Danio rerio: one gene and its partners. The protein of the gene in region 1 interacts with the protein of each later gene in a biochemical or structural test. Links are inferred from orthologs where the notes say so. Each region holds a gene or a part of one and is shown on either strand. Other genes may lie near its edges. The genes, in order: si:ch1073-205c8.3, nae1, smurf1, dcun1d3, rbx1, dcun1d5 and dcun1d4.

The links.
Region 2: of the proteins of si:ch1073-205c8.3 (region 1) and nae1, one has a biochemical effect on the other in vitro, tested with the Homo sapiens proteins (4 studies listed by BioGRID, with this or other methods). The link is inferred for Danio rerio from reciprocal best matches to the Homo sapiens genes UBE2M and NAE1.
Region 3: the proteins of si:ch1073-205c8.3 (region 1) and smurf1 form a complex in vitro, tested with the Homo sapiens proteins (2 studies listed by BioGRID). The link is inferred for Danio rerio from reciprocal best matches to the Homo sapiens genes UBE2M and SMURF1.
Region 4: the proteins of si:ch1073-205c8.3 (region 1) and dcun1d3 form a complex in vitro, tested with the Homo sapiens proteins (4 studies listed by BioGRID and IntAct). The link is inferred for Danio rerio from reciprocal best matches to the Homo sapiens genes UBE2M and DCUN1D3.
Region 5: the proteins of si:ch1073-205c8.3 (region 1) and rbx1 form a complex in vitro, tested with the Homo sapiens proteins (15 studies listed by BioGRID and IntAct, with this or other methods). The link is inferred for Danio rerio from reciprocal best matches to the Homo sapiens genes UBE2M and RBX1.
Region 6: the proteins of si:ch1073-205c8.3 (region 1) and dcun1d5 form a complex in vitro, tested with the Homo sapiens proteins (3 studies listed by BioGRID). The link is inferred for Danio rerio from reciprocal best matches to the Homo sapiens genes UBE2M and DCUN1D5.
Region 7: the proteins of si:ch1073-205c8.3 (region 1) and dcun1d4 form a complex in vitro, tested with the Homo sapiens proteins (3 studies listed by BioGRID). The link is inferred for Danio rerio from reciprocal best matches to the Homo sapiens genes UBE2M and DCUN1D4.

Annotation. Positions count from the first base shown.
Region 1 is NC_133194.1:51,592,588-51,597,230, forward strand, and holds the start of si:ch1073-205c8.3 (NEDD8-conjugating enzyme Ubc12), read left to right. Parts: upstream 1-1,450; 5' UTR 1,451-1,548; coding exon 1,549-1,663; intron 1,664-3,333; coding exon 3,334-3,428; intron 3,429-3,533; coding exon 3,534-3,572; intron 3,573-3,757; coding exon 3,758-3,861; intron 3,862-4,643.
Region 2 is NC_133182.1:45,346,988-45,350,479, reverse strand, and holds the end of nae1 (NEDD8-activating enzyme E1 regulatory subunit), read left to right. Parts: intron 1-2,400; coding exon 2,401-2,510; 3' UTR 2,511-2,661; downstream 2,662-3,492. UniProt on the Homo sapiens protein: Regulatory subunit of the dimeric UBA3-NAE1 E1 enzyme. E1 activates NEDD8 by first adenylating its C-terminal glycine residue with ATP, thereafter linking this residue to the side chain of the catalytic cysteine, yielding a NEDD8-UBA3 thioester and free AMP.
Region 3 is NC_133178.1:39,643,828-39,647,144, forward strand, and holds the end of smurf1 (E3 ubiquitin-protein ligase SMURF1), read right to left. Parts: intron 2,980-3,317; coding exon 2,880-2,979; 3' UTR 858-2,879; downstream 1-857. UniProt on the Homo sapiens protein: E3 ubiquitin-protein ligase that acts as a negative regulator of BMP signaling pathway. Mediates ubiquitination and degradation of SMAD1 and SMAD5, 2 receptor-regulated SMADs specific for the BMP pathway.
Region 4 is NC_133199.1:43,233,828-43,238,160, forward strand, and holds the start of dcun1d3 (DCN1-like protein 3), read left to right. Parts: upstream 1-1,395; 5' UTR 1,396-1,769; intron 1,770-4,333. UniProt on the Homo sapiens protein: Contributes to the neddylation of all cullins by transferring NEDD8 from N-terminally acetylated NEDD8-conjugating E2s enzyme to different cullin C-terminal domain-RBX complexes and may play a role in the cell cycle progression by regulating the SCF ubiquitin E3 ligase complex, after UV damage.
Region 5 is NC_133178.1:23,848,393-23,853,085, reverse strand, and holds the start of rbx1 (E3 ubiquitin-protein ligase RBX1), read left to right. Parts: upstream 1-1,733; 5' UTR 1,734-1,768; coding exon 1,769-1,846; intron 1,847-3,359; coding exon 3,360-3,438; intron 3,439-4,276; coding exon 4,277-4,347; intron 4,348-4,433; coding exon 4,434-4,519; intron 4,520-4,693. UniProt on the Homo sapiens protein: E3 ubiquitin ligase component of multiple cullin-RING-based E3 ubiquitin-protein ligase (CRLs) complexes which mediate the ubiquitination and subsequent proteasomal degradation of target proteins, including proteins involved in cell cycle progression, signal transduction, transcription and transcription-coupled nucleotide excision repair.
Region 6 is NC_133193.1:3,852,663-3,857,367, forward strand, and holds the start of dcun1d5 (DCN1-like protein 5), read left to right. Parts: upstream 1-1,813; 5' UTR 1,814-1,908; exon of another isoform or gene 1,909-4,015; intron 4,016-4,705. UniProt on the Homo sapiens protein: Contributes to the neddylation of all cullins by transferring NEDD8 from N-terminally acetylated NEDD8-conjugating E2s enzyme to different cullin C-terminal domain-RBX complexes which is necessary for the activation of cullin-RING E3 ubiquitin ligases (CRLs).
Region 7 is NC_133195.1:25,824,166-25,828,764, reverse strand, and holds the start of dcun1d4 (DCN1-like protein 4), read left to right. Parts: upstream 1-1,627; coding exon 1,628-1,721; coding exon of another isoform or gene 1,722-1,733; exon of another isoform or gene 1,734-2,031; intron 2,032-4,129; coding exon 4,130-4,200; intron 4,201-4,599. UniProt on the Homo sapiens protein: Contributes to the neddylation of all cullins by transferring NEDD8 from N-terminally acetylated NEDD8-conjugating E2s enzyme to different cullin C-terminal domain-RBX complexes which are necessary for the activation of cullin-RING E3 ubiquitin ligases (CRLs).

The DNA of each region.
Region 1 (4,643 bases):
CGAGTGCTCTGAGTGTGCCGGCCTTAATCCACAGCAAACCTGACTACATGGAGGATTTCCTCATGTCACAGTACTGGGGATGTAAGACTACAGTGATGGATGACTGAGGTAACTACTGGCACTGTGGTTACCATGGCATTTATACAGTATGTGGGTTACGCTGTCACACACACACACACAGACAGGTGAAATAAGGGCCTAAATGACAGAAGCAGAGCAGAGAACACACGTTCATCACAAGCACAGCTTTACCATCAGTGGATGAACACACACACACACACACACACACAGCAGAGAGAGAGAGAGAGAGAGAGAGAGAGAGAGAGAGAGAGAGAGAGAGAGAGAGAGAGAGAGAGAAAGCGCTAACCAGCTAACCAACCCTCACACAGTCCAGCGGCAGCAGATCGCAGGTCTGAAACACACACACACACACACAAATAAACAGACACGCTAGTTAGCAGGTTAGCAGCTCCATCCAGCAGCGCTACTAACCCTAACCAGCAGCTGAGGGAAGAGAATTTGGCCCAGGGTGGGTTAGTTTAAATGAGCAGTTCTCTCCCTCACACACACACACACACACACACACACACACACACACACACACACACACACACACACAGATGACTAGCTGAGCAGCACACAGGACTGCCGTTAGAGAAGCAGCCTATCTAGTGCCCTCACCTGCTCGTGTGGAGGCGCATACTCTCTGGCCGAGCATCGGACTGTTTCTGCGGCGGAACACAATGAGCTTCCGTGTTTCTGCTGCTCAGCCCTCTCACCGAGCCGTTACCGACACCGAGAGGCTGATCCCGGTCCCTCAGCCCTCCAGCCGCTCAATCCCCGCCGTGTGGATCCGCAGGCCGGTGTTCGGGAGCGCAGCGGCGGATAAACGTGTCTTTTGTTCGCGCTCCGCTATTGTGCTGCTGCGCGTCTGATGGCGGATCCGCGTTCATTCAGCAGCAGACGCGGGAAACGGGCCACAACCTCTGACAGGACGCTGACGCCATCACATGCGATTCTGCTCCCCGAAATCAAATAAATAAATAAATATGGTAAATAAAAAATATGGAGAGTAAAAAAATAGCAAAGCTCCTCCCAGTCCTCTGGTCACCGCCGAACGGCACTATGGGAAATGTGGTCCGCCGGTGCCCTACCCAAAACATCCGCTTTCAGTATCACCGCAGATTTATGATAAAACTGACACAATTATATAATAGCTGTTATTAAAAAAACATTCATCTTGACAACAACAACACTATCAACAATAAGAAGATTTATTAACTTTAAAGTATAAGTTTGCGGTTTCTGTCTAGTTAATTGTGTTCTGAAATCAGCTGAAAGAACAGTGTGTGAACAGAGCTAGCATTTGCGGCTAACACACACACTCACACAGGGAGAGAGAGAGAGAGAGAGAGAGACTGACTCACACACACCGGCTCCCTCTACAGCTGCTGTGAAACACACTCACACACACACACACACACACTCTCTCTCCCTCAGAGCGCAGCTCCCGAACACACCGCGCTGTTTGCTCTGCAGAGGCCGAAGATGATCAAGCTTTTCTCGCTGAAGCAGCAGAAGAAGGACGAGGAGTCAGCCGGCGGGCCGCGCGCGGGGGGCGGCGGGAAGAAGGCGAGCGCGGCCCAGCTGCGGATACAGAAGGGTGAGAGACACACACACACTCTTGCTCTCGCGCACACACATATACACGCACGCAAACACACCGGGCCGGTACCGGAGCTCGCACAGCCGCGGGGCCGCCGACCGGGTCGCTGAGGAGAAACAGCGATAGCGTTAGCATTAGCCGCGCGCTAACAACATCCGGCGCTCCTCGGAGATTCTGGCCCATAAAACAAGACAAAACAGACAGTTTAGACATTCACAGTCCGAGCAGGAGGAGAACACCGATCAACCGTCGAGCTGCGCGGACAACTCTGCGTTTCTGCCCGCGGAGAGGTAAAGTTTAAGTCTCAGTCAAAACACTGAGGCCTACAGACCCGGAGGAGGAGGAGAGCTGGAGCTGTTCATAACCAGAGGAGACCTTCAGCAAAGATCTGCTGTGCTCCACAAACCATCCACACGATATCACACACACAGTAACAGTCAAACTGGAGTGAGTGTGTGTGTGTGTTCATACAGCTGAGCAGAGTCTGGTCCCCATTCAGCAGAAACACCAACTCGGCTGAGGAAACACAGCCGATACTGATGAGGAGAAACGGCTTTAAACACACACACACACACACACACACACACACACACACACACACACACACACACACACACACACACACACACACTGTTTTAACTGTTCCAGGGAAGTGTCCTCAGTTAAGTTAATAAAGCACAGTGTGTTTTCGGCTGTTCTCCATCACTCACGCTTTATTTGCTCCACACCTGTGAGTTACTTCTAATAAACACAAAAGAAGATAGTGTGAAGAATGCTGGAGGAATCTGGCTTTGACTTCCGGTGTTGGTTTTTCCTACTCTGGACCTGAAAGTTTGCAGTGTTGTTCAGATGTGCTGCTTTGAGAGGTGAGCGGTGTGTACATGAGCAGAGCTCTCCTGCGGGACCCTTTAACACTCTTACACACTTTGAGTCTTGTTTTAAGACCCAATCACGACCGCTGTAACAACAATGACGCGGCTTTAATATTTAGATGAGCGTGAACAGAAGCTGAAGATGCAGAGGAACAGCCCCACTGCTTCTGTACAAACCACCGACAGCCAATCAGAATCAGCCTGCGCAGACGAGGATCATGGGACGCTGAGCTCTGGGTGATGGCACTGCCTGTATGATGCTGTAGTTCATGTGTTGTTGTATGACTTGTTAATCTACGCTGCGGCTGACATGGCCACAACACATAAACACATGATGACAAGCCCTGATCAACACAGACGGCTGATGGAGGAGTGTGGAGATCAGCACCTCCTCTGTGTGCTTCTGCTCATCAATAATGACTGTACTGGCCCACACTGATGAAGAACAGCAGGAGATGAAGCAGCCGTGGTGGAGCAGAGAGGTGTGCACGTGTGTTTTTGTGACATATCAGGACACAAATCTGTATATGACAGGTGTAACACGGGTATTACAAAAAGGTGAAATCTGTGGACATTGGTGACGTCCTCATTTCTCCAAAAGCTTCTAAATCCCACTGAGTGAGGGAGAGAGTAAAGCTGCACACCGGCTCCTGTGATGGCTCGGGTTAGGGCAATACTGTATACGGTTTGAACAGTATAAAATTAATGGAAACCTATGTAATGTCCCCGCTTTTCACAAAAACAAGTGTGTGTGTGTGTTAGAGAAAAGCTAATGCTGCTGTTTCTCTTTGTCAGACATCAATGAGCTGAACCTCCCGAAGACCTGCGAGATCGTCTTTCCAGACCAGGACGACCTGCTGAACTTTAAGCTCATCATCTCTCCAGACGAGGTGTGTGTTCTGTGTGCTGAGGAGTGTGTGTGTGTGTGTGTGTGTGTGTGTGTGTGCTGATCTGGGGAAGCGCTGTACTGACCGCTGCTCGTCTTCTTTCCTCAGGGTTTCTATAAAGGAGGGAAGTTCGTCTTCAGTTTTAAGGTGAGCAGCAGAGGGGCGAGCGGCGCGTCCGTGTCCAGCTCTCTCCAGTGTGCTGTCGCCGCTGCACTCACACTGTTCTGCTTGTTTCTGTAGTGTTCTGATCTGTATGTGAGTGATGTTGTGAAACTTCCGTGCGCTGATCTCTGCCGTTGTGGGAAGGTTTTTCTGACGTGTTTCTCCTTTAGGTAGGGCAGGGTTATCCGCACGACCCCCCCAAAGTCAAGTGTGAAACGATGGTTTATCACCCCAACATTGACCTGGAGGGAAACGTCTGTCTAAATATACTGAGGTATGGTGTGCAGCTTTACACTGTTGCTCATCTCCATCTTCTTCCAGCTGAACACATTCATCTCTTAATGCTCAGGCTGTTTCTACATGCATCTCTCATTTCTCTTTGCTATTTGGGCTTATTGGAAGCTGATTAGAATAAAACGTGAGGATCATCTTCTGATAAGATGTACTTTTAGAGGAAAGTGATGTTCATATATGTGGACTGAATGTACATAAACACTGTTTCCTGCCTGTCTGTAATGCATATTTAATATAGGAATATTTTGAACATGTTTTGACTATCAGAGAGTGAAATCAACATTTTTGCCCATTATGGACGGTTAAAACAGTGTTTGGGACACGTCATATGCTGCAGAACAGTTGCAGGATGATTCTGTGTGTCTGTAACAACATATAAAACACTCAGACTATCTTAAACAGACCCTGCAGAGCTCGAGTGATGTAAAAGATCACACTGTGAAATGTGTTGAATGCTGCTCCGCATGAGGGACTGGATGGTGTTCTCCCACCTGATGACTTGGTTTATTAATGATCAGCCCGCTTCATCATGTACACACTGTAAACACACGCTCTTCTTCTGTAATATAAAGGATATTTGGATTATTTGACAGATATTTGAATCGGTGTTCTGGATTTTTCAGTAAATCACTGAAGAGCAGTGAGTGATTAGTCTAATATAAACCACAGGAGGAAGCTGTCCAGCGTGAGGAGAGTACCCTGCAGCAGAACGACACAACACTGCTGCTGAAGAGCTTTATTAGTAAATGAGTTGCGATGGTG
Region 2 (3,492 bases), on another chromosome or scaffold:
ATCCAGAGAATGATCACACAAACATGCCTATCTGGCTTTTCATGATGGAGGAGTGGTCGTTTGAGTGCGCTGAATAGCGAAAAGGGTACGCAACATGGTTAGTCTACGTTAATTTAAGAAATTGACCTGGAAAAAGTAGATTGATTATAGGTTCTGAATGTCGATTTCGATTATTTTTCGATTAATCGCCCAGCCCTTGTACCACTCTAAGACTGGCTGATTAATCGAAGGTCATTTAATACATGATTTAATCCTTAATACATTACAAGTCACTTCTGGATAAAAGCATCTGCAAAGTGCATAAATATTCAAACAAAAGAACAGTTTATGTAAATATAATAAATATAAATGATTGTTTGCATTTTTAATAATCAGAAAGCACTTGACTACATTATTGTGGGGTGTAAATGCATCCAAGATGCTTTGATTTTGAGTGCATGTGGTAATCAGATCAATAGAGGGTGCATTCAGAGGTGCTCAGGGACAGCTCTGACGTTATTCACTGAGGTTGTAAATGCTTTTTCTTTTTTTGTATTCAACCACTTAAGCACCATGTGGTACTGAGTGATGCGCTATAAACCATTATTATCTATTATATACAGAGCAGGTTGAACATTTCCTGTCGTACTCTATTCATTTCCATCTGACCTTGATGTGATTTATGAGTTTCTGTGACAAAAGCTCCTTTAATTTTCAGTTTAGATCACAAACATTAATTAATGCTAGCTATATTAGCACTCAGATCAGTTGATGATAACTTTGATTTTCTTACACCGTACCCCTAACATTTGTGATGTGTCCATCAGATGCAAAACAGCTACAAGACACAGAATCAATTAAAAATAGGGGCTTCCGCAGTGGATGAAACTTTTCATTCATCCTGTTGGCAGAAGTACACAATTTTAGGGTCTTTTCAATCCAGAAACTTGGAGTGGTTTTAGTTCCAGGAACACCAATTGGGGGATCAAAATTAGCTCCTATATCAGAATTGGGTCTAACCCAGCATTGTATTTAGGGTGATGTAATTGATTAGGCAAACAAGCGCCATATAAAACACTGGCAGCACGATATTTAAAAAGACAAGACATAAACATGCAGATAAGTAATATTTCTGGGGTATTTACAGTGGGTTCTTTTTTTTGACTCGATAATATGTAGCGCAACAAGTAGTTATAGCAAATTTTTTGCATCTTTTTGCTCTTACAGTCATTTTTTTTCTTGTGAAGCTCTGAAGTAACATTCTCTATATGGAAAATGTAGTATTTTGGGGGACCATCCCTCTGAGTTCCTATAACTATTTGATGTCTAATACCCCAGCTGATAAGAAGTGTGTGTAGGCAGATCTCTACCTAATTATGAAATGATTATTAAAAACACAAATCTCCCTTACCAAACTGCAATTTTTGGAGTTCACAATTGGTCATTTAAGTTTCTTTGTACTACATCTTTACAGACTTAAGTGTAATTATCGATTTTCGCTTTCATTTTAACACTTTTTGCACTGAGTATCAGGGAAGTTATAAAAATATGATGCTGCTCCAGCCACAATATTACAGTAATCGAAATTGTGGTTGTGTCTCAAATGATTCACCATAGAGCAGGGGTCACCAATCTCGGTCCTGGAGGGCCGGTGTCCCTGCAGGGTTTAGCTCCAACTTGCCTCAACACACCTGCCTGGATGATTCAAGTATACCTTGTAAGACATTGATTAGCTTGTTCAGGTGTGTTTGATTAGGGTTGGAGCTAAAATCTGCAGGACACCGGCCCTCCAGGAACAAGTTTGGTGACCACTGCCATAGAGTATGCACTGTGCCCTTTGCATTTAGTGTTGTGCAAAAGAGGTATTAAAGGTGAATATTGTGCAAAATAGGTATTTAAGGTTAAATATAGTGCAAAGGAGTTATTTAAGTTTGAAGTAAGCAGTGCAACATAATTGTGGTACATTTATAGTAATCATCCTTTTTATTATTGAGTTCTTGTAAGATGGAGTTTACCTGAAGTGTCAGGTGCATAAGAAAAAAAAGTGTTTCTACAGGTGGTTTGTCAAGCCCACTCACCTAAATGAAGCACAATTTGAATTGCACAATGTTTTCAAGAGATATGGAGTGATTAAGAAAGTGTTCATAGTGCAAATGTGTTTACATATTTAAGGATATTAAGTACAATATCATAGTTGTCCTCTATCAAAAAGCTTCTGATTACCTGTCAGTTATTTTATTTGATTCTCCCCTTTCTTTGCTCATGTCTCTGTCTTTAAAAAACTTCTTTTCACTTTTATTATTATTGTATTTTTTTTAGCTTGTAATTGATTTTATATATAAGACTTTCTTCATATCCTGAATTCATTCATTTATGATAATGTCAGTTGTAATGAAGCCCAGTGTCTGTTTGTTGTTGCAGGATCAGCGGCTCAAGAGGCCATTAAAATCATCACGCACCAGTTTGTACCTTTCAACAACACGTTCCTCTATAACGCCATGTCACAGACCTCTGCGACTTTTCAGCTGTAAAACAGTCATCTCCATCTGTTTCTCCATTCCTCTGTCGAAGTGCTGGCCTCAAATTGGCACTCAAGTTTATGCTTGCATTGGTCGATGGTGTTGCTTTTTAGACAAGACTCAACACTGATGCTAAATACTGAATAAACAGTGTATATCCAAAGGTTTTGTGTGTGTGTTTGTGCTCTTTTTTGTTTTACTGAAGACTGAATGGCTCTATTGTTATATTTATATAGTATTTGCAAAATACTGAAAAAGGTTTTTATAAATATCAAAACTTTAATTATCTGTAGTTTTTTTTTTTTTTAAATAAAATATGTTAGGTTTGTGCCATGTTTGTCTTTATTTGTAGAGAACAACAAAACCACTGTTTAATTATAGAAGGGTTTGGTCGAATGTCTCTCATTTTTAATCACATTAAAAAAAATCAATAACAAACATTTATTATTTTGACCAATGGTCAATTTCTGAAAGTGAAATTACGTTTTTTGTATGAAAATTAAATTACATTATTTGTCAACTCATAATTATACTTAATTAAATATTAAAGGGAATTACTTGGAAAACATTTCTTTTCTATCACAAATATAAATAATGTACATTAAAATACTTCATAAACCTAAAGAAACTGATAATTGTATATATTAAATACTGAAAGGGATAGTTTTCACCCAAACATGAAAACTGACTCACTATTTACTCAACTTCAAAGGGTTGCAAACCTCTTTCTATTGTTAAACCCCCTTAAAAAATTCATCAGCCTGTCATTGAGCAGAGCAAAGATAGGTGACATTGTCCATCGACAACATGGCGACTGAGACCACATAATAAGCCCTTAGAGGAGAAAAACTCAAATTTCAAACTGCAGCTGATCAAATCATTATTAAACAGAAAAGTGACATACTAAGTCGATCTCGATTTTTTGTATGTTGTAGAACTGTATTTATAAGTAACCCCACCGATCCTACATCACCTAACCTGCTCTGAGCTGGTA
Region 3 (3,317 bases), on another chromosome or scaffold:
AGGCAGCAGAGTCTGCCACTGTCGCCCCGATCATAGAATTAAGGAGGAGAAAGAAGGATAGAAGGGAGGGTTTAGCAAAACGAAGATAGGGAATGAAGTTTAGGCAGGACATTTACAGTAATTTTGGAATGATCCGATAGGCTAGCTAATGACATAAGGATCAGCTGTAGTCGATATATCACGTTCTCCTCTCGAAATTAGTTTGTGATACTTCACTTATGTCAAATTGTATAAATTCATGTTAAACACTACTATATAACATTGTTCACAGCTAAAGAATGTTGAATAAATATTTGCTGGTGAAAAATGTTTTTTTTTAGTTCTAATTTAAGAGCAGTTCATACAAACCGGTCAACTTTGACCGGGAACACTAAAGTAATGGGCGGGATGTGAACACGACACAAGGGTTAAAAATGTTAAATTGTTAGCTGAAACTGTTTCAACACCGTTTCAACACCGTTTTAGATTTGTTTTCTTCATCACGGCACCCTTGTGGTCAATGGAGGGTGAGGTAGCTCTCTGGTTTCATCTAAAATACCATCATTTGTGTTCAGAGGATAAACGAAGGTCTCAGGATTTGGAACAACATGAGGGCGAGTAATTAATAACATAATTGTCATTTATGGATGAAATAACCCTTTAAAAGATAATAATGTTGTAAATTAGGTTTCTTGCACAGACCAATCCTTTCGAGTCAAGAGCACAAATGTCAAAAGCACATTTTCTCATCTGTTCCTCCAATATTTTGGAAGAAATACGACAGGCAGATTACTAACTTTTGTTAACATTCATTGCAAAAAAAAATAAATAAAAAAAAATCACACACAAAGTTCAAAGAAACGAGCAAGAGGAAGGGATTTGCAATTTAGTTTCTTTAATATAATCTTATTTACACTGAATTTGTTTCAGAAATGTTTAGTACATAGTAAGTTACATTACTCTTGCATCGAATAAACAATGACACTCAGGACCTAATAATTGTACAATGTGATGATACTGGTCACATTACTCCAAAAAAAAAAAAAAAAAGTTTTTTCTTAGAGAAAAATGAAAACAACTGTAACTTCAGGCAAAGTCCAGACTCATCTTCAAGCTCACTAGCCATTCCCACAATTACACAACATTAAACATCACCTCTCTTGTGTTGTATGCAAGTTTTAAAAACGGTTCACCACTGTAGGCATTCACGGTCTTTTGGAAAATTGGAAAACTTCATTTTTGCACACTCGTCAAAGACACATCCCAACCGATCTGAAGTGAGGAAGAAGACATTGTAAGACAGAACCAAGAATAAAAAGGTGATGGATTTTATTGCATATATCACAAATATGAACATGACCACCGGGGCCTGGCCTACATCACTCGCCAACTCCATCCAGGTCAAAAGATCAGGCGAACCGATCCTCTTAACCTCCTGAAGAATCAGCAGCAGGTTTAAATACTTTGATTCATACATAAAATAAAAGAGATTAGTGTACAGCTTTCACAAGAACTCAGCTTTCTCTGAAAACTATGGAATAATGGTAATAGCAGCAATACTTAAAAAGACATTACATGGTAATAAATAATTGGTTAAAAAAAATTAGGAGGAAAAGAAAAAGGACAAAAGTGGTTGAAGAAACACCATGAGGTTGGCTCATCCTTTACATTTACAAAGAATAATCTGGTGCCATGCACGTCAAGCACTACATAATGAAATCTTGAACACTTCCCTGCTCTTTCAGCACACCAAAACCAGAAAAGCCTCTCCGTCAGAGTCTAGGAGCGAAGCATTCGTCCACTCCGATCGTACATGTGCCAGCGGAAGTGCCGAATGTTCCACGAAGCAGTGGTTTTGATCAACGAAACAAGCAAATAACAGTCAAGTTTACGGTAGGTTAAAACGGTTAATGCTTACCATATAATAATCATTTGGAAAAGATTAACGGGGTCCATCAAAATTAAGGACAAGAAGAGCTTCTTTAAAGCATCTGATCTTCTTACGAGTTCGGTTTAAGAAGCCGAACGCCATTGGAGAAGGTGACATGCTTCAAATTCAAATGTTTTGCTTACATTGGATAAAAAAAAAAAAGGGTTAAAAGAAGTTCTGCGACAAAAATACTGTAACTCCGTGAGAACATTTGGTGTTTCGACCGCACACGATGGTTGTGCTTCAACATGAACACATGGGCGCTGGTACATTCAGTTCCCACAACAGGACTAAGACTCGCCGTCAAGCATGTTCTTGATCTTAGACACAAAAATAATAGTAATAATCATTTCAACAATACATTTCAAGCAATCGAGTTAAAATTTCTACAATGAGAACTGAAGAGCACAGGAAATGGATACCACTGAAATGTCATCCTATAGCACTAAACGGGACGCAAGGGGAAAAAAAAAAAAAGGAAAACAATTGGAGACGTTTACATACATCGAGCATGACAAACGCAAGCCTTGTCCTTTGAGACACATTTTTCTGTAGGTAAACTGGTTTAACGGTCACAGGCTCTGAGTGTGTGTGTGTGTGTTAAAATCCTCCCCCTAGACTAAAAAAAACGTGAGCTCTACTTCAAGTAGATCACGGGCTCAGCGAGGCTCTATGTACTGCAGCACAAACACACTCGCGCATCAACCCGCCGCTTCAGTGACAAAGACGATACCAACTGCATTGTTGAGAAACTACATTTCCTCTGGAACTCGTTGTGGTAATGCCAAAACCATTAGTCAATGAGTTGAAACACCTAGGGTGTTCGCTGCCCTCCACTGCAGTGTGATGCTAAAGTCTGTCGGGAGACACCAGTCCGTCTGTCCTGCAGAAGGGGAGGGGTGTGAGAGGGTGGCAGGGGCTGTTTGGTGGCTTTTGCTGCCATTGCTGGCTGGCTGGACAGGGCGCTTGCTCACTCCACTGCGAAACCACATGTCTCCTCCACTGCTGTCAGGAGCTTTTCATACAGCTTCTCGTACGACTCGTAAGGCGGGATGTCGATACGGTTGAAACTGAAAGAATATGAGAGATATTAGATTAAGTATTTTGGAAAGAGAATTGTTTAGTTTCAGGGCCGGGACACACCAAGCTGACCCCAATCAACTAGCACCAGCAAAAACAAACTGTATTGTAGGGATTCACTTGTGTAAATATGTTTGATAATCTAAAAATCCAATATTAGGGATGGACAACTTCGGTCCTGGAGGGCCGCTGCCCTGCAGAGTTTTGCTCTAACACTAATCAAGCATGCTAATGAGTGTCTTCAAGATCACTAGAAAACTACAGGCAGGTCTGTTTGATTAGGGTTAGAGCGGAACTCTGCAGGACAGTGGTCCTCCAGGATCGTAGT
Region 4 (4,333 bases), on another chromosome or scaffold:
ATACAACGATTGATCATCATGGCTGATTTCCTTCATAGGAGGCATGTCTGGGCATGCTGTACACACCCCAGTTCCAGTGTCTCCGCCCCCTTTTCAAATCAGGGCCAGAAAGTGAAATGCAGATAAAAAGAGAAGGGTATAAATGGAGGTCGGTGCCAGCTCCAAGTGGGTGGGCCTTAGAGCTCCAAGTGGGCTGTGCAAACCTTATTTAGTTGTATTTAGAGTTCAATATTGTGCTTTATGAATGTGTACACCTAACCCTAAACCCAACCTCACAGTAACCTGATGTGTTTTATTAAGATCTACTTCACCTACACCACTTAAACCCAACCTACTTGTGGTTTAAGTCCCTCCCACTTGGAGGTCACCCAACCTACTTGCGGGGTAATCCCTCCCACTTGGAGGTCTTCGGGCTACAGCAATACCTACTTGTTCATAGGAGGCATGTCTGGGCATGCTGTACACGCCCCAGTTCCAGTGTCTCCGCCCCCTTTTGAAATCAGGGCCAGAAAGTGAAATGCAGATAAAAATGTGAAGTGCAATTAAAAAAAAAACAGTATTGCAAACTCACGGTTGACTGAAAAGCAAATCAAAATGAGCATTGTACACATTGCAATTGACTTGAGAGGTTTTGTAAAGGCAATACTGGAAAACAAATATTTAGCAAATATATGTATAATTTATCCCAATTATAAAATGTTCTTTGCACTACTTGATTTTTATTTACAGTTCTTTATTCTTGTTTGCAAAATTCCTTTTTATTTCTCAAAACTCAATATAGCATTTTTTTTTGACATTTGCATTATTTTTCTATTTTATTTTTTGTTTGCAAAACTTTCCTTCATGTTGCAGGTATATATGACCCTAGATTGACTCCATATCTTTCCACTACTGCTGGCAGGTGTCAGAATGTTACTTTAACCATAACTATAGCTAATTATCATCATAATCATGTTCAAATCTTCATCTAGCATTAACTACAAAACAAAAACAGACACCAACAGTGACCTGAAGCGCGTGACAGGGTTTGCGTGACCTCTATAATAATGTTGGATACGCTGTCAATGAGCGATTTGCACTTATCGCATGAATATCTGGCAAGCATTATAATTAAACAGCCTTTTGTTTTCTACATAATAATTCTAGCTGAACTCTAAATGAGCGTTACCTATGTGCGTTCACATCAGCTTATGCGAGCATCTCCGCACTTCCGTACTCCGCCGTCCACGTGCTTGCAAATGATGACGTCCTCAAACTGCGGAGGTTTTTCGTTTCAAACCAGTCCGCGACGCTCCCGGTGTTGCGCAATCGCAAAAAATCTGCGAGGTGCTCGCGTCGCTCATCTCTGCGTATCTTTTGCGCAGACTCTGTCGGACCCAAACAAAAAGAGAAACTGCGATCAATCAGCGGCCGATCCGCGATTCTCTGGTTCCGTGTGGTCGTGTCGAGTTCATCGGGATCATCCGGATTCTTCAAACATTGATGTAGAGGAGTGCGGGATCTGGGGAAGGCGGAGGTTTAACGGGAGCCGGTCCGGATCAGCGCGGGTTCGGTTCGGGCACGGGGGTCTGGAGGACGTGAAGCTGTGAAAATGTCAACAATGATCATCTGATGAACCAAAAATCACCACAAGCACAAGAGACGAGCTTTCCCCTGCTTCAACGCAGATCCAGAACCGATCCGGTTCGGCTGAACGCTGGGATTAGCTTTAGCTTTAGCATGACAGCAGGGATGCGCTGACTCTGACCCGTTTCATCGTCTTTCCACAGGTAAATCAGCACAGAACACGCTCACTTCACACCTCCTGACATGTTCACGTCCAGAACGAACACGTTTGAGAGTTCAAATGAAGTTTAGTGCTTATAAATGAAGCGCACTCTCATCTGAAGCTAACCAGCTAATCTGCTAACATGAGATCAGCTCTTTAAAAGACTTTAACTGTCATGCGGAGCGTTGTTTCATTCACATACAGCCATGTATCAGAGCTGTCCGTATGATTACAGCGTGTTCAGGCTGGATATTTACTGTATTTCTTACAGTCGTAGACAGTTAATCATTATTTAGAGGAAAACTTTCTCATTTATCCTGACAGAGACTCTTGGCTGTGGCTCAAATCTATGAGCTGCTTACCTACACAGCTTTATGGGAATCAGATATCGCTTTGCATGCCTTTTAAAGGCTGCATATTTAAAATAAATACAGTCTATTTAGGATTTAGGTGTCATGGGCATTTGCTTATGGTGATCAACATGTTGCCTAGTGCCTAGGTAGACTGCAACTGTGTAAATATATCTATATGCTGTAACAAATAACAGATTGTGACAGGAATGGAGATTTAATATCAGAAAACTGACATTAAATACATTTTAAGTTATCCTCACTTACTAAGAAGTCCACGCTTTTAGTATGTTTTTTATTATTATTATTGGTTTACCAATGACTTTTGAGGTAATATAGTTATTAATTTTTTTTACTTGCCTTTTAAAAACATGACAATTTAGGCCAAACTCAATCCAAACATAATCTTGCACAAACTGACTGAGGCATGTCAGATATACAGTGAATCAAATATAAAGCCATACAATTACACAAACATACACATTTATAAAACAATTTATAACCTTTTATCAAATATCAAAATATATTGTACAATTTATAAAATATCATAACAAAAAAAGAACAACATGCTGCGCAGACATCAAACAGAAACTCTGCAAAGGGTTAAATAGAAGCATATTCTTGAAACAAATCATACAGTTGTATATAGCCTTCTCACACTTCATTATTTTTAAAGCTTCTGCGTATGTGGCAGACTCCTTTTTAAACGCAGTCAATTGAGGAGCTGCTTTCAAAATTTAGCATTTATGAATGAAGTTTTTAAGTAAACTAGTAAACAATTTCCTCTTTGCTGTCCAAATTTACTCCAAATTTTACAATGTTCTAACAAATAGAAGGAAACATTGAAATTTATTGTTTTATCGAATTGTCCACATCAGACCAGAAAGAACTAACCAAATTACAATGAAGAAATAGATGGTCAACCGTTTCAAGATCACAGTTGCAGAATTGGCAAACATTACAAGGTACTATAGTCTAGGACAGGGGTTCCCAAACTTTTCAGCCCGCGACCCCCAAAATAACAATGTCAGTGACTCATGACCCCCATTTTTCAAGGTGGTTACACTGTAAATATATAAACCTTGTAGACACAACTATAGGCATGTATAAACATGAGCACATTGACAACACATAAATGCAACAGTCTATTAACCGTATATATTTTTTATATTCATTTATTAATTTATAATATAAAACGTAAAGGCTGATGACTTTGATTTTTATTTGTTTATAATAGATAATAATAATATAATAATAATTTTGTTTTTGTTTATTTGTATGTTGTTGTTTATTTAACACAACTATTATCTTCTGTGGGTTATGAGTAAAATATGGTCATTCAAATAGTTTAATAAAACTTATTTGACTTTGGAAATCACCAAGCGACCCCTTGTCATTGTTATGCGACCCCCCAGCGGGTCCCGACCCCCACTTTGAGAACCACTGGTCTAGGATTGGGTTTTACAAACTGAGATCTGTTTTTTCTTCTTTATTATTATTATTTATTTATTTTATTTATTTATTTTTTTGTGAAAAACCTACTTTATTAAACGAAAATGTTTACATTAAATAAAAAAAGTGTAAGTAAATTAATATTACTTTACTATAAGTAAAACAACAGCATACTATTATAAGGCAAATCCTATACACAGTTTAAATTGGATGTTTGTTTTTAAGAAACTTCATAGATGTCTTTTATCGGAAAGCTAATTTTACCAGCAAGTCCTGTTATAAACACACCACATATTAAAAAGTAAGTTGCATTGTGATGATTACATTAAGATGTTTTTAAACGTACAAAACTGTTAGCGCTGAGATCAAAAATAATCGAATTTTTATCAAAAATAAATCTTTTAGATTTGTATTTTATGTATCATTACATTTTTTAAATGTATTTTTATTGTTATAAACCTTTTTGGTTGTAGGAAAGTGATCTTAAAATTAAAAAATGTTTATAAATTGTATCTGTTTTTGCCATGAAAAAGCCAAACAAACTCTCTCGGATGTTGCTAAAAGGGATACAGCTGTGGCCAGAAGTTAACAAGAATAATTTGTTATTTATTAAATAACCTATTAATTGTATTTTATTATTGTATACCCCAACCCTAAACCCAACTCTCACTGTAGTGTAAAAACAATCGTTTTACAGAGTGTTATTCATATTATATATTAAATTACTTATTAAATTGTATTTTATTAACTTCTACCCCTACAT
Region 5 (4,693 bases), on another chromosome or scaffold:
AGCCAATGTAACCCGGTGAGCGATAAAACAATGCAGTCCTCTCTAGCACACCATTGTGTTGTCAGTAATATTGTTGTCCCGGTACTGAAATTTAAAAAACTAACATTTAACATGCTAGCATTTAAGCGCCGTTGAGCACGTTTTTAAACTCCGCTGATCTGCGGTGAAATTACTGTTATCGGCGGTGATTGTCATCAGTTTACCTCTCTTCACAAGTGCAAACACAGATACACGGACACTGGAGCGTTTTAAAGTTCAGTCAAGTCATCAGCAGATCGCTTGTCTGCGTTTGCATTCTGTAAACATTGGTGAAGTGCAGTGAACTGATGACCTTTACGACCAATCACAGTCATTTCTGTTAAGCACTGGTGGAAAGAAAACATTTGCTAACTAGTGCCATTTCCCTTAACTTAGGGGAAAATAAGGTCCGATATGCCTTTTTATTTTCACCATGCATTCAGAAAGGACCTTCGGGTCACTCGGAAAGTGGTGAAATTATAAATTTGTGTTCACTGATAAGATATAAATCCAGGTACACAACAATACGCCATCTTGGATGCCGTTCCTGTGTGACTCCAGGCGTTACTTCCAGGTTTATTTCCACTGCAGACTCTCTTTCGCTTTTAAAATGGAGGCTGTGTGAAGTCTGTAGATCATATTTTTTCTTAAGTAACTATTGTCTTTAAATGCTTTAACTGCTTATGCTGGCTTGCCCACACTAAGAGATAACGATAAATATATACATATTGATGACTATATTGTTAGGATTAAGTAGTCGTACATGTGTGTTTTTTTGTTTAAACAATACAATTATTAGCTAGCTACTATGTGGTAGTAGCTCTGCAGATTTGTTTACAGGTAATTCTTTGGTTGAATCTTTGTTGAATCAAAATTTGTGCAATTTTAATGCATCCACACAACAATAGTGTTTTGGGGCCTCTGAAAATACTTGTGTAACGTTATATGCTTTTGTGTGTGTGTGTGTTTGTGTGTGTGTTAGTATGTATATGTATATGTATATATATATATATATATATATATATATATATATATATATATATATATATATATATATATATATATATATATATATATATTTGTCACGCACTTAACTGTATGATATTACATGTTAAGTCGGTTGAGCATTCCAGTAACGTCACTTTATATGTAAACAAATGTGTAAAATAGTGGAAAAACTACGAATTGTGTATAGTTTACATAAGTCTACATGGTAGCTGTTCGCAAAACTTGTCAAAAAAAAGCAAATATGAATATGTGAAATAAAAAAATATATAGATGGCATTTAATGTTATCTGTAAATCCTGGTAACATGTAATCTCCTGTATCATTTCAAAGCTCTGCACTTGCACTGCACTGATTTGATGTATGTTGAACACGGTCATAATTATATAATATGCAGGATTCCGACAATGTAGTTTATAATAGTGGTAGGGTATTGTAGATGGTACAAATCTGGAAACAGTGGGCCTTAGCTTCCAACAGGTTCCATGGTGTAATGGTTAGCACTCTGGACTCTGAATCCAGCGATCCGAGTTCAAATCTCGGTGGAACCTAATCTTTTAACTCGACTGTAATTTGGACTAGATTGTGTCTGATTAAACTGGAATAAAAAAAAATATATGAATGATATTAAAAACATCATAGTATACACAATTGCTTTAATTCACACGTTTACATGTAAAAGATTATAAACCGAGTAGCTGTTCACTCTCACTCTTTCTCGCGAGATCATCAGACATTAGCAAACATGGCGGCCGCGATGGATGTGGACACCCCAAGTGGAGCTAACAGCGGAGCCAGTAAAAAGCGATTTGAAGTGAAAAAGGTAAGTAATTGTGAAGTTCACGTTAATGATTGCTGTCAACTGTTTGTTCACATCCGTTTAGTCTCTTTAAAATTAAAATAACACTCTTTCACCGCGGTGTGTTAAACCCAGTTAGCATTAGCCGCGCTGCTCTTTCACATCATCATTTTAATCACCGGCCTCTATGCTTTTCATGTTTACAAAAACCTCATAAAGTGTCACAAAAATGAGTACAAGCTAATGTCAAGCAAAAATATGTTACATGCTCGCCCAATGTGCTTCTTATTTGAACTCCGATAAATTCTGCAGCGTAATCCCAGAGATTATTGAAGTAGGCCACTAAAGAACGAAATACAGCGCTGATCATTCCCAGACCTTGGCGAGTTTTTTAGGCAAGATTTGTGGACACTGCAGCCGCTTACAGCACATTCGATTCTAACCGTTTGAGGTTCATAGACGCATTCCGAACGCTCTATTCGATTATCGGTAGACGTCATTTACATGTTCCCAACGTTCGTTTCCATCACTTTTAGTCACCATAGTGACATTCCGAACATTCCATTTAAACACATTTACCCCCCTCAAAGTTCGATGCAAACATTTTAGTGAATTTCACATATTACACACGGAATTGAACATTCTATAAGTGTATACAATGTACAATAAATTATGTTATACTTATTACTTAAGTAAATTTTGACTTGTGTGCATCCTTTTTAAAAGCTAGGTACGGACATGTTTGAATGTTATAGACCAGGGGTGTCAAACTCAATTCCTGGAGGGCCGCAGCCCTGCACAGTTTAGTTCCAACCCTGCTCCAACACACTTACCTGTAGGTTTCAAACAAGCCTGAAGGACTCTATTAGTTTGATCAGGTGTGTTTAATTAGGGTTGGAACTAAACTGTGCAGAGCTGCGGCCCTTTTGGAACTTGACCCTTTTGGAGTTTGACACCTGTGTTATAGACAGATATTATACCTAATGTTACTCCATTTCATTTTCATATTGATTTCAACAATGTCAGCCATTGAAAACACCCTCCAAATGCTTGATTTTTAACAGTTTCTAGTATTGCAAACTTGTTTCAAATATTTGTTTCCAACAGTGTGAGGCGTTGCAAGCTCATTCTCAATGTTCAATTCCAACAGTTTCAGGCATCATAAACCCTTTCTGAATGTATATTTTTTGTGGAATATTGTAGTTGGTTTCCAGATTACCAATTTGTAATCTGGATTCAAAACGATCACCGTGAACGGTTTGAATTTAGATATACTTTTTAAAAAATGTTTTTAAAATAAGTTTTCATACTGTACTCGCATACTGTTTTCACAACTTATTTTCACTATGTTCCTTTACAAATGTTATGGCTGCTGGCTTCTTTTCTTCCTCATTATGATGTATAACTGAGTGGAAGCGCTGCTCATTGGTGGAGGATATTTAGGCTTAGTTTGTGTCTGTACATGTGTCATTAAGAGAAAAGGTGCTGTTAGCATTTTTAATAAAGATTATGATTATAAACTCTGCTTGTCTTGCAGTGGAACGCTGTGGCTCTGTGGGCATGGGACATTGTAGTGGACAACTGTGCCATCTGCAGAAATCACATTATGGACCTCTGTAAGTATAACAGCTGCTTTAGTCTTTTAGGTTTAGTCTAGATCAGGTGTTTTCAGCCCACGACCCCCAAAATAACAATGCCAGTGACTCGCGCCTAGCCGTGGGATGAAAACCGTGTTCAATGTATATCAAGGTTTGGAAAGGTCAAGGTTTTAAAGCCTTCAAAATTTTCTCCTATACCGTTCCTAAGGTATGAGTTCGATCTTTTTTTTACTTTTTATTTTTAGGACAGTAGTATCTCCAGAAAAGATATCCAAAGATGCCATTTTTAAATTGTAAAAATAATCAGATTTTTTTAAAACAAATGAAGACAGCAGAAGTCAATAATTCATTAGAATTATTTAGCCTGACATGTTTACTTCTCCAAAACATTTTATATGTTTCCCAAATTTACATATAGTGTGTACAAAGGGGAAAAGGGTTTTGTTTTGTACCCAGATATTTAAAAAGATTATATTTTAGAGCAGTTATCTCAATACTGTGATACTGTGAAATACTCAATACTGTGAGGTACTCAATACTGTGATACTGTGAAATTTATTTCCGAGGTAATCATACCGTCAGAATCTTATACTGGCCCATGCCTACTCACGACCCCCCAATATTCTCTAAGGTGGTGATGAATATTTAAACCTTGCACACATACCAGTAGGCCCAAATCTATTCATTGTTTAATTTTAGAGATTGCCACTGTGAGAGCTTGCTCCATGTTCTGTTGTAGCCTGTATTATTTTTAATGTATGTGAAAGCTGTAAAGGTGTCAAAGTTTAACCCCCACTGTGGGAACCACTGGTCTAGATGAGCTGTAGCTGATCTGTAACTCTTGTGTTTGCTTCAGGTATTGAGTGTCAGGCCAATCAGGCGTCTGCCACCTCAGAGGAGTGTACGGTGGCCTGGGGAGTCTGCAATGTGAGTATAATCACACACACTTTGAGCTCTGGGTTTGTTTGGTGCTGGTGTAATGCTGGTGTGTTTGTTTTTGTGTGTGTCTGCAGCACGCTTTTCATTTCCACTGCATCTCCCGCTGGCTGAAGACCAGACAAGTGTGTCCACTGGACAACAGAGAGTGGGAGTTTCAGAAGTAAGTCTTTTTGATTCTTCATTCAAATCAAGTCAAATTCACAAGCTTCGTGTAAGGGATAGGTCTCAAACTCAATTCCTGGAGAGCCGCAGCTCTGCACAGTTTTGCTCCAACCCTATTTAAACACAGCTAATCCAACTAATGAAAGTGTTCAAGAGTAGTCTTGAACCTTAA
Region 6 (4,705 bases), on another chromosome or scaffold:
CCACGCCAACGCGGGGAGAACATACAAACTCCACACAGAAATGACAACTGACCCTGCCAGGACTCAACCCAGCGACCTTCTTGCTGTGAGGCCACAGTGCTAACCACTGTGTCGTCCTATGTATGACTAAATAGTTAATAATTATATAAAATGTGAAAAGTGTAAAGGGAAAGTAAAACATATTTAGTTTACTCTTCACTTGAACTTTTATTAGGCTTTATTTGATTTTAGTAATTTTAATATAGAGATTTTATTATTATTCATTATTTTTTATCAATGTTTTCCCCATCTTTCATTCATTCAGTCATTTTCTTTTTTTTTTTTTATAATTATTTTTTAGGGGCTTTTCACCTTTATTTTGATAGGACAGTAGAGAATTCGGACAGGAAAGCACTGGGAGCAGAGAGAGGGAAAGGATCGGCAAAAGACCTCGAGGCGGGAATCGAACCCGGGTCACCACGAGCACACTGGTGCTATATGTCAGCACGCAGTACCTCTAGGCTACAGGCGCCGACATTCATTCATTTTCTTGTCAGCTTAGTCCCTTTATTAATCCGGGGTTGCCACAGCAGAATGAACCGCCAACTTATCCAGCTAATTTTTACGCAGCGGATGCCCTTCCAGCCGCAACCCATCTCTGGGAAACAACCACACACACATTCACACACACACTCATACACTACGCACAATTTAGCCTACCCAATTCACCTGTACCGCATGTCTTTGGACTTGTGGGGGAAACCGGAGCACCCGGAGGAAACCCACGCGAAGGCAGGGAGAACATGCAAACTCCACACAGAAACGCCAACTGAGCCGAGGTTCGAACCAGCGACCTTCTTGCTGTGAGGCGACCTACTGCGCCACTGCCTGGCCCTCCCCATCTTTATTATCTATTATTTATATTTAACATTTTATTTATACAACAATTAGCTGTTTGAGTAAATAGTCTAAAAAATGTATTTGTACTATACTATATATATATATATTCTTCTTCAATGTTTTAATGTAATAATGTGATTTTTCTGTTTATCTGGCAGAAACTCAAAGCCATTGATGAACTAAAGGAGCAGCAGGCTGCCGGAAAAGTCATGCAAAAAAACCAGGTACCACCTTTTTATTGTTATGTTTTTATATGCTACCCGACAAAGTCTTGTCGTCTATAAATTTTTAATAAGTTGACTTCTAGTTGATCAATTGGTGTCAGAAGTGGCTTAAATTCAATTAAATTCAATTCATGTTTATTTTTTAAGTGATTTTACTATGTAGATTGTGTCAAAGCCGCTTAACATAGAAGTTTTAGTAAAGTCCAGTTTTCAGATATGATAAACAAAGGCCTCTAGATTACACTTTTTTTTTACCAAAATAAAATATGATCATGCCTTGATTTAGCTTTCATAAGACCTTCATAACATGCTAAAACCATAATTATAACATTTCCCCTTTTTTACAGCTTGAGAAGATGCAGAAGGAGGCCCAGCTGTTGAAAGAGCTTGAAGACCTTGAATTAGGATTATAAACTCACTGTACCAGTTTTCTCCATTGGTCATCATTGGTTTCCAAGCATTGCTTTGTCATACTCTCATTAAAATGAATGGAGATGTTTTTCTTCATGTCCAATAAACAACAGCCTGTTTTGCTTATTTGTTCATGGCTAGAAATTAAGGACTACATTCTTAAAAGCAATATTGCTATGCAATGTGACGTACAGCACAAAGAAACACCTTGCAATGCGAAATAAAAATGTAGAAATTCAAACGGCGTGACTTTTATTATGCCGGTTGGGGCAGCCGGAAATGTTCCTTTCTCCGCCAGTGTGAAACTAAAGCAGCCACAGATTTCAGCACAACGCAGCTGAAATTGGTAACAAATAAACCGAACGGGACAAGCTAAAAGCAGCTGATATTTCAGGTTTGATGAGAAAACACTGCATTATGACTAGTTTCCTGTTTGTGGGGTGTTTTGTCGAGTGTTTATTCGTGATATTTAGATGAGCCGGTGAGCTACTGTTCATGTATGTTCATTTATCACATGCGTGTGTTTGTTTTTACTCAAACTGTCGGATGTTTTGACGATGTTTCGCTTTTTATACCTGTATAAACATATTTTAGACGATTTTAGACGTTTAGAAGAGTTTCAGGCTTTGGGTATGAAGCAGTTCAGCCATTTCAGAAACCACAAAGCGAAGCTTTTAGGCTCATACGTAACGTACATCGGGTTTTGTATCCGACAGTTGCTTGTATAACAAACCTTTAAACTTTTCCACATACATCAAACATTGCATTAATTGAGGGATTTACTACTGGAATTATATCTATGTGCCTTATTATTATTTCAATACTTTTTGAAAAAAATGAATATAAGATCAGTTATGTATGTGCTAATTTATTTATATATGTTATCAAACTGATGTTCACCGTTTACACATAAAACAATCAGACTTAAATTAAGTTTTAATAAAAATGTTTACCTAGCATTACTTCTAATACATTTTTAATAATTAGATTTTTTTCTTTCATAAGAAATGTCCTTGTCAAATCTTGTAACGTGTAAGTCGTGTATCCTACATTTGTTTGCATTATAACAAACCTTTAAACTTTTCCACATTATTCAGACATTGCATTAATGAAGGGAATTATTACTGAAAGATTAACTTCATCTATGTCTCCCTTATTATTATTTAAACAGTTTGAGAAATTAAATACTAAATCTGTTGTTCAGTTATATATGTTATCAAACTGATGTTCACTGTTACACATAAAACAATCTGACTTAAATCAGCATTAAATAAAACGTTTACCTAGCATTATTTCTAATAGATTTTTAATAATTCAATGTTTTTTTTCTTTCATTCTTTCTTAAAAAATGTCCTTGTCAAATCTTGTAATGTGTAAGTCTTGTATCTTACATTTATATGTAGCAAACCTTTAAACTTTTCTGTAAAAATCAAACATTGCATTAATTGAGGGATTTACTACTGAAAGATTAATTGTATCTTTGTGCGGTTTTGGTATTTAAATACATTTTGAATAATCTAAATCAATAAATAAATAGTTTTGTATGTACTAGTTCAGTTGCTTGTATAACAAACCTTTAAACATTTCAACATACATCAAACATTGCATTAATTGAGGGATTTACTACTGGAATTATATCTATGTGCTTTATTATTATTTCAATACTTTTTGATAAATTTCAATATAAGATTAGTTATGTATGTGCTAATTCATTCATATACATTATCAAACTGATGTTCACTGTTACACAGTAAACAATCTGACTTAAATCAGCATTAAATCAAAACGGTTACCTAGCATTATTTCTAATAGTTTTTTAATTATTAGTTTTTTTCTTTCATGAGAAATGTCCTTGTCAAATCTTGCAACTTGACTTGTATCCTACATTTGCTTGTATTATAACAAACCTTTAAACTGTTCCATATAAATCAGACATTGCTTTAATAAAGGGATTTATTATTGAAAGATTAAATTTATCTATATCTTCATTATTAGTATTTAAACAGTTTGAAAAACTAAATACAATATCTGTGGTTCAGTTATACATGTTATCAAACTGATGTTCACTGTTACACATAAAACAATCAGACTTAAATCATGTTTTAATTAAAATGTTAACTGTTTATCATTAGTATTTATAATACATTTTTAATAATTTGCTTATTTTCTTTTTTAGGAAATGTCCTTGTCAAATGTTGTCACTTGAAAGTTTTGTATCCTGCATTTGTTTGTATTATAACAAACCTTTAAACTTTTCCATATAAACAACCGTTACATTAATTGAGGAATTTACTTCTGAAATATTAATTATATCTATATGCAATATTAGTATATAATTCAATTTAAAAAGAAATCCTGTATGTACTAGTTCATTTATATACATTACCAAACTGATGTTCATTGTTGCACTTTAAAAATCTTGCTTAAATCAGCATTAAATTAAAATGTTTACATAACAACGTCAACTTTTATAATAGGTTTGAATAAACTGATGATTTCTAGTTAAATGACTAATGCACAACACATCTATCTATCATTTAAATTCATTTTTAAACATCAGAACAGTAAGAATAAATATCCTTGTCAAGTCTAGTAACACGTAAGTTGTTGTATTATAACAAACCTTTAAACTTCTCCATATAAAAAAAAATACATTAATTAAGGGGTTTACTACTGAAATATTAATTATATCTATTTATGTTATCAGTATTTAAAACATTTTAAAAAATCTAAATAAAATATCAGTTATTCATTTATATTCGTTATCAAACTGATGTTCTTCGTTACACACACATATTATGACTTAAATTAGCTTTTAATTGTTTACCCAACATTATTATGTTGGCTTGAGAAAGCCAACATACTGTAATGCTACTTAAACTTATTCTTATTATTATGTTGGCTTGAGAAAGCCAACATACTGTAATGCTACTTAAACTTATTCTTATTATTATTCTTATTATTATTCCGGCTTCTGACTCAAAAAAGCAATCGCTTCTCCTCCCAGGGCTTAGATGCTACAAGCCCCAAATTTGGTCAAAAGCTGCCTACTGCTCATGAGATGGTTGCTGTATGTCCTCATGCCGATAAGATTTGTAGTTTTTGAATAAATAATTTTTTAATTAAAAAATTGTATCGAGTATTTGGAGCATATAAAAAAGTATACAATCCTCAAATTTGGCCAAAAGATG
Region 7 (4,599 bases), on another chromosome or scaffold:
ATAGGCCTTCATGGTCGATCTTAATCACAAAAATAAAAACTTATATGTCATTAGAACCAGAAATATCTTTGAACATATACATGCCTTTCTGCATCCATTTCCTTGAAAGAAATGGTGCACCACCATATTGAAGATCATTATTATCCCAAATAGGTGTATGGATGTGCCATTTATGTGAATGATGAATGACTTTTCCCATCATATTGCCAATTGGACCTAAAGCTTGCACACACTGTTTGTTTAATTTAGATTATCCGCTTGTTAAGTGTGACGTCACGCGGAGCAGCTTCCGGGTCCAAACGCTCTATTCAACTGAATGGGGAAATTCATGAAATGGTAATAATAAACGTTTACAAAGCGATTTAGTACTTTAGAAAGTCACGATCGCAATATATATGTCTATGCCTAATATCCGATAGCCAGAAAGTGATTCATTGTTTTATAAATTGTTAAAATTTTGGTATTTGTTATGCAGCAAGCCCGGAGATTGTTGTGTACACTATGACTTTATGTAAAATTAACTTTAATGTGTGATAGGAATAAAAAGTGATCATAAACGAAAGATTTCTCCACTCAAGTGAATGGCGGCTTGGACCCAGAAACAGTATTACATACGTCACAAACACGTCACCACTTAACAAGCGGATTTTATGATGATTTATGCATGAAAGTCATCCCAATCAATCTAAATTAAGGAATTCTTTTCAAATAGAGCTACTTAAATCGTCGGGTGAAATTGTAATCATATTGCAATACATTAGAGAAGAATAAAGGACTAAATATTAAAATCTAAGATTTCTCCAATATCATGCACCCTTGCCATCAGTGTATTGTCAGGAAGCAAAGGTAATCATTTTATTTTCCCTATATATTTTTTTCAACAACATTAGCCATTTGTGTAAAATAGACCATTTGACACTGGGCACTGTCCATGTTTTCTTGTATTACCCTATGGTATTACCCTGATATACACACAAACAGACATGAAAATTTGCAGCAATGTGCCCTAAATGCTCAATTCTGTCATAACATTGAATTTAATGCCTGCGAGGTTGCCCTGTACACTCTTTTTCTGTTCATCAGATATAAGTCATAACGTGTTATAATATAAACAGCATGAGAGTAAGAAAATGATGTTTTTGGGGCGGTGAACTCCTCCTTTATACACAATAGCTTACATAATTGGGGTTCCTGCTCCTTGTGATGTTTTCCATTCACTTTCGCAACTTTTCAAAGAAATGTTTTGGACGACAGTAGCGCACAATTAACCTAAAGCAGTCGCCTCGTTCAGTAGCCTAATGTTTTTAACTGTATTTTCCCACCATTGTTTTGTTAGCCCAAGTGTGCTCTGTGTTGGTGTACAGCTGAGCCAATAGCATGTCATCGTGGGCTGGCTTTCTTCTATGCACGAGGAAACTATCGTAACTGATGGGTGTAGACATACTTCTAAGCCAATCACGAACGGCGAGAGGTGGGGTTGTTGAAGCATTTCAACCAATCACGTGGGTTAAAAGGCGGGATGTACACAATGTTTCTGGCGCACTGTATTTGACACTCCTCTCGACCAATCATGGACACGAGTGAGCGTGGCCACTGAAAATTTCGGCCATCTAAATCATTTGTGGGCATGTGTAATGTTGACGTGTCCCGCCCACTGGCCGGTCTGCAGACTCACACAAATACAGTTGTGTGTTTCATAAAAATGCACTCAGATGCGTCAAGTAAGTACAATAGTACGTTTTCACTGCTTTTCGTTTTCTGTCGAGCTGTGATGACAATTGCGTGCTTGCTGCATCCTGACAAGTCGCCGTGACTTCTTTTAAGATGTATGATTCGCTGTGTTGACGCATTTTGTGAGTAAAGTAGCCGTTACCGGAGCATACAGATCACCAGATTGACTCTGAGCTTGCTAGCTGCTCTCTTTGTGTAATTACTCCGATGTTTTGGGCGCTTGCAAGAGACAACGACCTTCGTTGATTATCGTTGCATTTTAGCATTCTGTGCTTGAGTATATACAGCAATCCGAACAAGGTATCTGATCCTATTTACACAATACACTTGTACACTAATTACCTTTAATACCCAAATAACCTTAAGGCATCCATCTCCTGACAACTCGAATGACTAATGCAAAGCCACCGACGTGCAAGTGAAAGGTTGTTGTTTTGAAGCTAATCTGCTCAGTTTTTTTTCGAGAAAACTGCGGAAAAATGACAGGGGGTGAAAATTGTGACGCAGTTGTGTAAAAATTTAGTGCTTGCAAACACGTCGAGTGTGATCTGGCGCATTACTGTACGTCCCCTTAAAAGACAAACTGCGTATCGTTGTGAAAGGCTGTCTTTTTTAAAGATAGAAAATCTTTTTTGCAGCATTTGGGTCGCATTCATCAGTTGGGGAGAGTACCGATTGAAATTATGATTTGGGGAATTCTGGGAAATGTGGTTTATTCAGCCGACCCGTGTCGTTGGCAGACGCAGGCGTTGTTTGTCATTAGACTACATTCCCCAGAAGCTCGCACACTCTCTAGATACTTTGTAAAGTCGTCGCAAGTTATGCGTGTATACATATCTATGAGCTTTGTGGCAGAAAATCAGATTTTAAACTGTAGTCAGCGTAAAACTGTGAATGTTTGAAACGTGCTGGTGTGATTTTAACTAATGTTGTGTTTTACAATTTTGGGGGGATTTCATAAAAACTGGCATTCCTGACAACTGCGTCACAGGTTCACACAGGTCTCGTTTTATGTAGGGTTTGCATTAATGATGCACTGCATTAGATACCGGCAACTGTTTAAATAGTAGACATTTCATCGTACCTGAAGTTAATGCTGTTTCGGGGTCTTGGCTGTTGGCATAGCGTTCATATTCAGAGGCCTGCATCGATACACACAAACACACATACACGTATATATTTCTAGGTCCGAATATTAGAACGTGTAAGCTCATAATAAGTGTAAATAATCTAATCATATGCTGGCGTCAGTATTAAAGTTTTGATCATTAAGTATGCATTTGGCTATTATTAACCTAGTTTACGTGCTTCCTAAACGACTAGCCTACGTATTAGGGTATGAATATAGTGATTATTGGGTATAATGTTCAATTAGTGAGCTACATACTTGCATGTCAGTGCAAACATATACATAAATAGTTTGACGAATACAAAAAATTACATTAAAACAATGTCTATTACAATGAATAGGCATTTACAATATAAACATTGAATTTGATCATATTTGCCAGTTTTCTTTCCCCCTTATCACATTTAAATATAAGAGATACCTAAAATTAAAATTAGACTCCTTTACACCCAAGAAAGTTATCCATTAGAGTGCATGAGAACAACTCTTCTTGCAGAAGTGTAATGGGTGTTTTGAAATTTACCTTTGACCTTTCAAAATGCATCTATTTACACTATAATTCCCTTTTTTGGGGTTTAATCAGATTAAGTCCTCTGAATGGAAAAAAAAAAACTGAATCTAACAATAATAATAATAATCATAAAAAAAACTTTAAAGCGACATCACGTTCCTTCCTACAAAAACTTTTTATTTCCATCATATCACACACAGCTGATTAATGCACCTTCTGAGTGTTAGGTTTAATACAGTTATTAGAAATATTTGTGGATTTTATTAAATATTATTTCACGAGGTTTGCCTCATATTGTTAATTATCTGTATTTGGGTATAATCTAAAGTCTTGGTCCCACACATTTATTCTGAATATTTTTACAATAATATTCTGATATTAACATGCAAGAGAAAGATGACCTCCACACTGACACCTTCTGTCTTGGTGATGAAACCATACTTGACAGCATAAAGATTATGAATAACAATGTTGGTAGTTGCCTGGCTGTACTCACCACGAAGGCACAAAGAACAGTTAAATGTATTCTGGATACATTAGTCTATTAGATACACTTCTGCATCTCACATTGCTTCTCATATTTCTGTCACTCTACCAGCTCACTGGAGCGGACGTTCACCCCCCACCATATCCTCATAGACTGGAAACATGTTAACACAAACACGTACACAAACAACCCTTAAAAACCATGTCCATTTCAGAAGCTTGTATACATGTGTATAAAGTAACAAATGTATATTTTTATATCTCTGTCATAGATTTCCAGCTGAACTCTCATTTGTCCACACTGGCCAGTATCCACAAAATCTACCACACCCTGCACAGGCTGGTAAGTACAGTATGGACTCTGTTTTGCATGTATTTAAATACCCAGCAGTTATATTGCAAGAGTTAACATTCAAACCTTTATATTATTTAAATCAAGAGGGATTATAGATGGGATTTGGACATGTTTTCATTTTTAGGGTTTTTTGTAGCAGGTTGTGACTTTCAGAATATATTTGCTCTAAGGTCCAAACCACAGTTTGCCAATGTTGCAAGATCAATTTGTGTGTTGTTTACAGTTCAAACTTGGTTGGTTTGGTGTGATTACTCTTTTAGTGTAGTTCATGTGAGTATGTGTGGAAGCTGCCATACATACCTTAGTGTGGACCAAATAAGTGGACCGAGACCACTGAAAATATGAGTTTTGGGTTCACTTCTAGTTTATCTTTGCTTTTTGAATGAA